Linked DNA regions of Macaca fascicularis. The protein of the gene in region 1 purifies or fractionates together with the protein of each later gene. This does not show direct contact. Links are inferred from orthologs where the notes say so. Each region holds a gene or a part of one and is shown in the gene's direction. Other genes may lie near its edges.

Region 1 (5,743 bases):
AAAGGAGAGAAGAATTGGAAATACAGTATTGGTAGTCCGAGGTTTTGATATGTAAACTCACCTAAATATACTGGTCTTTTCAGAGTTTGTTTGTCACACAGTGTGACCACAGAAACTTAAATTATTTGTAAAATAAAATTGTTTTCTCTGTGTTTTTCCTATCCTTTTAGAGCCTTTGAAGCATATATAGAAATTTATTCTCCTGAGTAAGAATCTATTACTATATACAGTAGAGCAGCTCTCTGTTTTGCCAGTGGCAGATAGGAAGGAGAGCAGGTGACAACCCATATGCCCCTTACTTGTCTTCTGCAAGCAGCAAGTTGTAAGCAAGAGAAACTGTTTTCTGCTCAGTTGCTCCTTTATTTAACATTTTAATAATCTATGGGATACTGTGCAAGGTAGTGTGCTAGGCACTCGATAAACAGAGGGAAACAAAACCATGATCTTGTCCTCTTGCAGTTTACGGTCTCCTCAGATATCATTTGTGGTATGTTTAGGCTTTAATTTTGTCTCTGTGTATTGCCTAGGTGTATATCTGGTCTTGATATTGAAAGACAGATTCAAGCTGTAATACATCACAGCTGTTGGGCAGAAACTCATGGGAAGCAATGAGCAAGGCAGAAGGGGCAAATTAGAAACAATTTGAGGCACCCATAGATGCAACCAAACCTTAATCCAAAGTGTATTCATTTAATATTGCTTCTGTAACAAATTATCACAAATTTAATAGCTTAAAATACACAAATTTATTATCTTATAGTGCTGGAGGTTAGAGGTAATAACCTCAAGGTGTTGGCATTCCTTTGGAGGCTCTAGGATAGAATCTATTTCCTTACCTTTCAAGCTTCTAGAGGCTGCCTTTATTCCTACGATCCTGACTCCTTCCTCCATCTTCAAAGCCTGCAACATAGCGATTTCCCTTTCCTCCCTCCCCCTCCTATTCTCCACCATTCTTTCCCTCTCTCTGTGCTTTCGTCCTCTCATCTTCTCTGACCCTCCTGCCTCCTTCTTCTAAGAAATGTAATTCCATAGGGCCCATCTGTATAATCCAGAATCATCTTCTCATCTCCAAACCTTTAACTTAATCATATCTGCAAAGTCCCTTTAGCCACATAACTAAGACTGGTACATCTCTGAGGGCCATCAGCTTACTACCACACGAAGCAAATTAAGTAGAAAATAAGGTTTGCCTCTTTTACGCCTTGAGTCAACCAGCTGCATGTTGCCCTTTGCAAGTTTGTTTTCTACTTCAAGGCCATCTTTGTTGTCCATTTTAACTAGCCTTTCCTCACAAAATGGTGGTATGTTGCTCCCCCTACTGATATTTCTCTGAGGCCTTGTAACTCTCTAAGATAGCACCAGTTTAACTCACAAGTCAAAAAACTGGAACACTTCAACCAGAGACATTAACATTCCCCTCTAATGAACTCTTAGCTGATTGCTAAAGACAAATGCTTCATTAGAGCCAAACATTCCTATCTTACATAACTAAATATGATAACAAATTAAGATCATGGGGCTGGAAATAGTTATTATTTCCTCTTTCTTGCAGTGAGGAGGCATGAAACAACATTTAGCAAACTGATCCTGGCTTAATTCCTACAGATATTATGCAGCACAAACTCTTATTTGATGCAGATCATACATAAAAAATTAGCAATGAATAATAAGCATCGCTTTAGTGGTAAGGAAGCTGAGTAGCTTTTTTTCCCCCAGTAATCGTAGAGGCTAGACTTGACATTTTTATGTCACTTTTACTTAGAAGGGGGCAAACATTAGTTACTCCACGTAACTAGGAGCAAAATACTTCTTTTTAAGATTAATAGCCTCAAAAAAGTGAAGACCAGAAAAACATTTGTTTTCAGACACTGGAGAGCAGGAACGGCTGTGATTTTACAACCGCTCCTACATGCTGGGAGAAGTCTCCAGATGCGTCTCAAGGTGGGTCGTCAGTGCTTTCAGACTCAGCACAATCTACATATATTTACGTAGTTAAAATTACTGTTGCTATGGGTAAATTCACAGAAGTAAAGCCCAGAGAATCCGGTTGGCTGGCAGGGAGCGGCGGAACCAATCCCGGGCTCAGCAAGTTCTCGCGATACCGTGAGATCTGCATCCCTGACGACACCGCCGCGGAGATGTTAGTGAGACTGGCGGGTGGGCGGTGCGAGCGGCGGTTAGCTCCGAGCTCGGCTTCTCTGAGGAAAACGGGCGTTCACCTGCGGTTGGTCCGACTGTTACCAACATGAGCGGCGTGGATGGGGTCGAGAGGACCCCTCCCCTCCAAACCCACAGCATCATTATTTCTGACCACGTCCCGAGCGACCCGGACGCACACCAGTGCCTGAAGCTCCGCGACCAAAGCGAGACGACACAGGTGATGGCGGAGCCGGGTGAGGGAGGCTCGGAGACCATCGCGCTCCCGCCTCCACAGCCTTCAGAGGAGGGGGGCGTACCTCAGGATCCCGCGGGCCGTGGCAGTACTCCCCAGATCCGAGTTATTGGGGGTCGCGGTCATGTGGCGATCAAAGCCGGGCAGGAAGAGGGCCAGCCTCCCGCTGAGGGCCTGGCAGCCGCTTCTGTGGTGGTGGTGGCAGTGGACCGCAGCTTGAAAAAGGGCGTTCAGGGTGGAGAGAAGGCCCTAGAAATCTATGGCGCCGAGAGATCCGCGTCTGAGCTGCCGGCGGGGGCGGGGGCCGAGAACGACACCGAGGAGGTGAAGACAGGAAAGTGCGCCACTGTCTTAGCAGCCGTGGCTGAGGGGGAGAGCGCTGAGGTGGTGGTGAAGGAAGGCCTGGCGGAGAAGGAGGTAGTGGAGGAGCAGATGGAGGTAGAGGAGCAGCTGCCGGAAGGTGAAGAAATAGAAGTGGCGGAGGAAGATAGAGTGGAGGAGGAGGCGAGGGAGGAGGAAGGGCCCTGGCCTCTGCATGAGGCTCTCCGCATGGACCCTCTGGAGGCCATCCAGCTGGAACTGGACACTGTGAATGCTCAGGCCGACAGGGCCTTCCAACAGCTGGAGCACAAGTTTGGGCGGATGCGTCGACACTACCTGGAGCGGAGGAACTACATCATTCAGAATATCCCGGGCTTCTGGATGACGGCTTTTCGAAACCATCCCCAGTTGTCCGCCATGATTAGGGGCCAAGATGCAGAGATGTTAAGGTACATAACCAATTTAGAGGTGAAGGAACTCAGACACCCTAGAACCGGCTGCAAGTTCAAGTTCTTCTTTAGAAGAAACCCCTACTTCAGAAACAAGCTGATTGTCAAGGAATATGAGGTAAGATCCTCCGGCCGGGTGGTGTCTCTTTCTACTCCAATTATATGGCGCAGGGGGCATGAACCCCAGTCCTTCATTCGCAGAAACCAAGACCTCATCTGCAGCTTCTTCACCTGGTTTTCAGACCACAGCCTTCCAGAGTCCGACAAAATTGCTGAGATTATTAAAGAGGATCTGTGGCCAAATCCACTGCAATACTACCTGTTGCGTGAAGGAGTCCGTAGAGCCAGACGTCGCCCACTAAGGGAGCCAGTAGAGATCCCGAGGCCCTTTGGGTTCCAGTCTGGTTAACATTTGCCCTTGGGAATACTCCTGCACAAGGTCTCCTACCACCTTCTGCTGGACTTGTGCTTGGGCATCAGCAATGGGTATGTCTTCTACTGTGTTTTGTTTTTGCTGACTTTTCTGCACCCTCTTTCCTTTGGATATTCAGTTCTCTCAACCTCAAGATTGAGACGGTGGTGGGTATGCGTCTCCACTTCCATATGACCTTCATGCTGTTCTGGAATATCACATGCTACGAGGTCATCCTTCACGCTACTTGTAAGCCAAGCAAATGATACTGTAGATTGTACTGCCTTTATCTGCACTGCTTGGACGCTGTTTATTCCCAGGGCCTCTGAACTGGTTGCTATCACCTGGATTTCTACCTTTGGGAGCCTATTCCACCTACTCAGCTCTGCATCGTGAAGTAAGGGCGCATGCCCTGTGGACAGTTACTGGACGTTAATGAACTCAGAGGAGAAAAGCAGTGAGCCGCTTGTTCTGTGTGATTTATGCTACTTTATTGCTCTTCCTTCACCTCTAGTCACTTTCTATAGCTACCTGCCCTGCATTGGCTCCTGCCAAGGTCCCTCTCTCCCTCTTTTCCTCTGCCTTTTTTTTTTTTTTTGAGACGGAGTCTTGCCCTGTCGCTCAGGTTGAAGTGCAGTGGTGCGATCTCGGCTCACTGCAACCTCCACTTCCCGGGTTCAAGCGAGTCTCCTGCCTCAGCCTCCCGAGTAGCTGGGACTACGAGTGCGCACTGCCATGCTGGGCTAATTTTTGTATTTTTAGTAGAGATGGGGGTTTCACCATGCTGGCCACGCTGGTCGCGAACCCCTGACCTCGTGATCTGCCCGCCTCAGCCTCCCACTCCTCTCTTTTAAGTATTAGCTCAGAAATATTTGTAAAAGCAAGCTTTTAATTTCATTTTGGTTCTGTCATTTTCAGAGACAAGTTGTCCTGTAAAATAAGAGTGCTAAAGCTCTTATGCCCCCACCCCTTTCTTTCTTCCCAACTTCCTACTTCCTAGCCCTTTTATCAGCTCCTAGAATATTTAAAGGGAGACACGTCTAGATGGGATGAAAGGTGAGATCTAGTTTATAATGGGTGGAGGAACTAAAGAGATTGTGATGGGTGCCCTAAGCAGGGGAAACTGAACAAAAGGCTAGAGGCATGGGCCAGGTAAAAATTGGGCCTAGAATGAAGACTGTGCTGATGTTAAGAGCCTTCGAGGTAGGAGTACTTACTCCTCAATGGTGATGAATGGAGAAATTCTTTTCAGGATTGCTAAAGGAGAATTGAAGGGGTTAAAGTGTTAAATATGTTGCCTAGACAAGGGTTCTTTAAAGAAACACAACGCAAGTTTGAATGCTTGCTTGCTTGTTTTGTGACCTGATTTATGTGGGTGATTGTTATTTCATTAGGATTTAGTAAAATCTTATTTTTTTTCTGTTTCTAAACTTATTGTGAAAATTGAGCTGTGCAGACATTCTTTTGATTTCAATTGGGAACATTTGGAAGAACAATAGTCTTTACTTTCCTGTACAATATAGAGACATATGAATATTCATAACAGTTTTCAACTTGTTCTTGTTTCTGTTAAACTATATTCCTAGAAACATAGTTTGAACAACTTGGTCTTTGTTAGGCTTGTCAAATTGCCTTCGTGGAAAAATAATCTACAAAAGTGTGGTTTAATTGATTGTCTTACATGATAATTTTCCCTGGTAACAACTTAGTAAGTGATGTGTCTTTTTTCCTAAATTGCTTAAATACTGTGAAATTGCTCTGACAAATTGGAAGTGTACCATTGGCATATTTGTCTTCCTTTTTATGCATGATGGTAAAATAAAAGCATGTTGTTCTGCTAGATTTCTTATTTTTCACCTTACCCATAAATGTTATGCTTGAATGAAATTGTTCATGTTAATTAAAAATTATGGAATCATTAAAGTCCTTAAAGGGACACAATAGACCTTATCCCAAAGAGAAGAAAACGGCATGGTAGGTTTGGTACCTTCCAAGGTAGTTTGCTTTAAAATGTTAGCAGTTGCAACTGCTTACTCAATCACTTTTTTCCATATAGCTTATGCAGCACCACCTCCCCTTCAGTTGCGCAAATCCTCCATTTCTATCTCCATAAATTACATTCTCAGGTTATTCAGGCTCTTCTTTTTATTAACTTGTATGAAGGGAGTA
Region 2 (5,620 bases), on another chromosome or scaffold:
TTTAGCTTCTGTGGTTCCAGCTTGCTGTTTTAAAAAATCCTGTTAATTAAGCACCTTGTCATTTAAAATGCTGAAGAAGGAAAGCAAGCAAGAAAACTTGGACATTTTAAGGTCCTTTTGGATCTCTGGGTACGGACCAACTGCAGAGGCAGCTTTAGGGAGGAGACCGGCAAAGACCTCCTAACGCAACTGAAGTGGGTAGAATGATAAGCAGCTCTGAACAACCAGTTAATATTTTACTGGGGAGTGGTGCCAGAGATGGGGGTGGGGGGGCTGCCAAATGGAGGGCTGTGTGTGAAATCGCTGCTCCATCTGCCTTGGGGGACGAAAAGAAGCCGTTCTCTGTGCAAATAAATGGAAGCAAGAATCCTTAGGAAGCCCAGGGGATTTGTCTGCCCACCGAGGAGGGCCCAACTCCCCCAGGCACACACATACAGGGATGATTGTGGCAGGAAGGGCTGACCTACGGGGGTAGGCCTGACGCATAATGGGGGCTCTTGTTTCCGGGCTGAGCGTGCCATCTTTCTGTCTCCCTCTGGATTGAAATGGCTTCTCAGCCCGAGAGGCACTGCCTGTGCCCTGGATTCACAAGGTACACGCCTCCCTGGGAAGCAAAGGCTGAGAGACAGCGGCTCTCTCTCTCTCTCTCTCTCTCTGCATCTGCCGGGAGAGCTGCAGCTGGTATTTTTCCACAGGCCTTTGCTGCGATCTCAAGGCCTAGTTTTTCCCAGCCAGGCCCGGAGTCCGAGAGAGGGTTAACAGGCAGGAAGCCGAAGGCATCGCAGGCTAATACGGAAGTCAGATTTGTGTTTAACTGACAGGTTTAGCAGGCCTCGGCCGTGGGGGAGGGGCCGGGAGGCAAGGGAAGTTTGTAGATCCAGGCATGTGGCCTGCGAGGAGGGCTTTGGGTTTTTCTTAGGGTAAGGACGGAGAGGGGTCCCCCTTGGCATCGTGGCAGGGAGGCAGGAACCCACGTTGATTTTGCACGCAGGACTGGCTAAGCAGGGCGAGAGGCCCACGGCTCTCTGGCCTGCCTTGCAAGGAGGCATGGGGACAATGACTATGCAAACTTGACCACTCTGCTCCCCTCCTCCCCTCAGCAGCTACTCCTCGCTCCTCTGAGAAGCCAGGGCTGCTCTCTGCTGATTTTTCGTGGCTCCCCCGGTCTGCCTGCTTCCCCAGCTCCTCAGAGGCCTGCCTCAAGCCCCTTTTTCTGGCCCCCTTGGCTGTTTCCGTGGGACTCCCCACTCCCCAGCTTCCCCTTCCCCTTGGAGAGCCACCCTGCTGGACTGTTCTAGAAAACGGCTGGCCTTCCTCCCTGGACAAGGGCCGTTTCTCTGGGGGCAGGTGAGGGTGAGCCGTTCCAGCCCACTCCAAGAAACTCCCTTCCCAGGGGCCTCCAGTCCTCAGGCTTCCCTGGAGCAGGTCAGGCTGGCTGCCCTGGCCGGCCCGTGCCGGGAAATCTAGCCAGGGTGCAGGAGAAGTGCGTGTGGGGGCCCCTTTCCCAAGTTTTTCTTGCTGCAAAAGGCCTAGCTTAGCCTGTCTTTTTCTATGCACAGGATGGCTCTTGCTCACCCGAGCCTCACAAAGATAATCGCTCAGGAAGTGTTTCAGCCAATCCGGGGCGGCTTTACACTCCGATTTGCCAGGGCAGCCAATCGGGGATGAGCTTTTATTAGGCGGCCAGATCATCAGCCGAAGTGCCAAACCCTTTTTCTGTGAGAACTAGGAGCCTGTCCTCCATGTTTTATAAGTATTGACATTACACAGTGTTAACAATGCATCCACAGAGGTAAGCTCGACTTTTTAACCATCTTTTTTCCCCCTCCCTCTGAGACATCCGAATTGTGGGCGAGCAGTGTGATTTCTCTGTGGCTGGCCGTGCCACACTCACCCCCAGAGCACTTATGTTAACTTGGAACTGTTTAGAGAGAATTTTTTTGCTTTCTTGGGTCACATGGCTCAGTAGCCATTAGCCATAGCTTGATTTTGCAAACTGGCAAGGGCCTGGCACACCTTTCCTTCCACCAGGGCATGGTGTTTCTGGAAGAGTTTGAAGCTAGATCCTGGTATGCCAAAAAAGAAGCTTTTTTTTTTTTCTTCTTCTTCTTCTTCTTTTTTCTTTCCCTCTTCCCTCTCTCTTCCCCTCTCTCTCTCTCTGAGCAGTTCCCCCCCCCCCCTGCACTATTGTCTTCTCTTTTGCCACATGCCCTGCTGGGGGAAGAAAATGGAAGGTAAGCAAACAGGCTCCTCTCCAAGGAGAGCTCATGGCAGACAGCAGAGCAGGCAAGTTTGCCTCTCCAAAGAGGTTCTGGGAAGGCTGGATAAGTTTTGACAAGAGAGGAGCGTGTTTGCAAAAGAATTGAACCCTCAGCAGAGCAGTGCTAAGGAGAGTCTAGCTCCTGGGGCCTAGGTGGGTGGTGGTGTCTGTACACGGTCTTCTCTTATTCTACAGAGCTTCTGCACTTGAAACTACATTGTTCAGCCTGTTTTCCTGACTTAGGTTGCTACAGAGTGTTCTGCAAGCCAGCCTACAGCCAGCAAATGTTTCTGAAAGTGTTTTCTAGGTTTTGGAGGAAGTTTTTGGAGTAGGGATGGGGACTGGGGGGTGTGGGGAGAGAGATCTTGGACAACATCCTGCAAAAAAAAAAAAAAAAAAAAAAAAAGAAAAAATCTGCAAGGATTCTGAATCCCTTAGTTTTCTACTCTTGCATGATTTTCAAGGAACTAATGTTACCTTTTATCCTTGTTTTCATTTTCCTGTCCCTTTTATACATTGTATCCTCCTCTCTTCTCCTGTGTGATGGAGTGTAGAGGAAATAAAATCATGTCTGTGGCTCATGACAGCATTCCATATTCAGTTGTTGGGTTGTGGTGTTGTTGTTGTTGTGTGTTTTTAATAATACCATGTAACTGTTTAAAAAAATTTCCTTTTTGATCAAGTCCCAAATCTGCCAGCCTGTTCTCTCTTCCTAACTGTGGAAAAATGAGACGGTTGCTTGAACATTTGTTGGGTAAGTAAAGCAATCCATTTCCTCTGTGACCATGTTTGAAGAGTTTTGCGAACATTTGGGGTCTGTTTGTAATAGGGGGTCTTGGCTGCAGGAGTTGGGGGCTTCATTAGCAGGAACAAAATAAGGGCTTTTTAAAGAGTGTCTTGATTTTAGGTGACTGTTTGAATCCACTGTTTTTCCTGATAACCTGCAGCTAGGATTGAAGATTATACTTCCTGTTTACCCTGAGTCAGGGGAGAAGTGTTTAGTTCATTGTGACTTGACTCTAGACCTTTAATGGGGTTTGTTTGGATATTCAAACTGTGAGTAGGTGATGTGCTTGTGAAATGTAATGAAACTGCTTGTTCTTAGAGTTGCAGAGCCCTAAAAACATTGGTGGGGCAGAAGCTGGTGGTGGTGGTGGTGGTGGTATGTGTGTGCTGGGGGGTGGTGGTGGCAGTGTGCTCATGCTTTAGGACTTATGTATAGTGCAAAATCTCATCTGCCACCAGACTGGGGTTGGATTCAGGACTCACTGACCAACACATTTTGGCCTTTTTTCAGGTCTCATCCACACATCTGTATGCATGCTGACCCCACATAAGATTTGTCACTTTTTACATTTCCCTTGACTTCTTAAGGCTGCAGCTAGAAGTTAAGTGGGAAAAGTAGAGTCTTGTTTAGCATTACCTTTAGAATTTCCCTAGAAGTTCAGTACGTAAATTTTCAGCTTGGAGACCAATCTGACATGACTGTAAATGCAGGAAATATATTCAATTGCTGTGTTATGTCAACTTTATGGAGTCAGTAATCTTTTTTCTTTCAAATGAGTGTCCAGTAGCCCACTTTCTGACACCAAATTGGAAAAAGGCTCATTTAATCAGGAGAAACGTTTCGTACCACATTCTAAGTTGAAAAAAGTCTGTGCAAGGCAGGCCAGCTTAGCTTCTTAGAGTAAAACTGCAGGCAGTTAATGATGTTACATACTTAAAACTGAACAGTGCCACTGCCCCAAACAAGTAAGTTTAGACACTCAGCTATTTTCTTTGTTCTTATCTCCTTGCTGTAAATGGAAATTACATATTGAGGTTCTTGTGGCCTCCCTAGAAGCAGTGTCTAATCATAAGACTCCTGGTTTGGTGCCTTCAACGTTTGCATAATACTGTGTTTGTTGGGCTGGAAGGGAACTTAAGGGCAAGGCGTTTGTCCTCTAAAAGCTTGCATTAAAATGGCTCCCACAGGTTTGGAGAGCCAAGATGTGTTCTCAGATGTACAGCCCCCAGCAAGTTGCCAACACTGGACCAAGCTAGCCACTTTTCCTCTGGTACTGTGACCCCTACCAAGCATGAGTCTGTAAAAAGTTAATTGCTTTCAAAGTAGCATTATTTTCCAGTTTCAGGAAAGGGGAAAAAAATGTCTGCATTGCAGCAGGACTAGGTAGGGACGGCAGTACTGGCTCCCAGAGCAGCCCAATGGGGTTCTTCTCCTCTAGCTTTTAAACCAATAGACTTGGAGGAAAGGTTAAAGATTGACAATTACAGTGGCCGAACTAAGAACAGGCCTTCTGGAAATTTCTACCATCTTTGTTCCTTTTAGGAAAAGCGGATCTGCCAAACAGAAGAGTCTCCTACCTTCCATTCCTAGGTCATCTCCCTTCCCTTCTTCCCCCCCAACCCCCCTTCTTTTTCTCATCAAGGTATAATGTTCTCTCTGCCACATTTGTAAATTGCAGAGGGAGGAACAGAATGTTGGGCTGTTTTCCTTTTTCCTTCTGCCTCCTCAGTCCCCAAAGAGGATACACAGCTGCAAGGAGCAAACACAGACACACTGAAGCTTTTGATTCCTCTTTTTTTTTTCCTTCAAGACCCTCCAGGATGGGTTCACTTTCTGCTTTGGGAAATTAAGTGGCATTCACGTGGGGGAGGGGGAGTAACTGCTTTTATTAGCTCCAGAAAATGGTCAGTGTTCAGTCTGTAACTAGGAATTAATTATATATAATCACTCAGTAAACTTTCTACAGAGTTTTTCTAATTGCTGAGCCTGATCATAGTTAGCCCGTTGGCGCCAAGTCCAGTTACTTTTATAATTAACAGCTCAAAGATTTGAGTCAGAAAGAAACAATTGGGGGCCTCTTGGATTATAAATTAGGGATGAAAACAATAGCTTTTTTTCCTTTCTTTCTTGTAACCTCTTTTATTTTAAACAAAACATTCCCCCTTTTCTTTCCCTGGGAGAACCAGTGGGGAGACTGCATCAGGTCTTAAATATGAGGACGGGAGACACTTTTTAGGAAGTGGGGTGACAGTAACCTAGAAAACCCTGAGGCAAAGGTAGGTTTTTAAAAGTCCAGCCACTTCCAATGTGTGATGTCTTTGTTTCTTTTGCCCTCTTTCCCCTTCTCTCTCCTGTGGCAGAGGCAGCAGACATTTGTCAGCCTGGGAACCCTCAATCTGGCTTTGCCTCTGGTTGACTCTGGAAAGAAAGATACATTCAAAGGGGCCTTCGCTACTGAACAGCAGAGATTTAAAAAGGGAATATGTTTCGAAGCCCTTTGGTTACTCTTAAAATGCAAAATCTGAGCAAGGGTTCACCCTTGGCTCAGGTTGCTAAGATTATGGTTGCCCTCC

The links. Proteins that work in one complex are often made in the same cells at the same time.
Region 2: the proteins of TSPYL1 (region 1) and ZMYND8 purify together in Homo sapiens (affinity purification with mass spectrometry; 4 studies listed by BioGRID and IntAct, counting the BioPlex papers as one, with this or other methods). This does not show direct contact. The link is inferred for Macaca fascicularis from reciprocal best matches to the Homo sapiens genes TSPYL1 and ZMYND8.

What each region holds. Positions count from the first base shown.
Region 1 is NC_088378.1:20,294,530-20,300,272, reverse strand, and holds TSPYL1 (testis-specific Y-encoded-like protein 1), read left to right. Parts: upstream 1-2,143; 5' UTR 2,144-2,245; coding exon 2,246-3,571; 3' UTR 3,572-5,414; downstream 5,415-5,743.
Region 2 is NC_088384.1:103,408,696-103,414,315, reverse strand, and holds the start of ZMYND8 (MYND-type zinc finger-containing chromatin reader ZMYND8), read left to right. Parts: upstream 1-1,718; 5' UTR 1,719-1,778; coding exon 1,779-1,792; intron 1,793-2,943; exon of another isoform or gene 2,944-3,014; intron 3,015-5,620. UniProt on the Homo sapiens protein: Chromatin reader that recognizes dual histone modifications such as histone H3.1 dimethylated at 'Lys-36' and histone H4 acetylated at 'Lys-16' (H3.1K36me2-H4K16ac) and histone H3 methylated at 'Lys-4' and histone H4 acetylated at 'Lys-14' (H3K4me1-H3K14ac).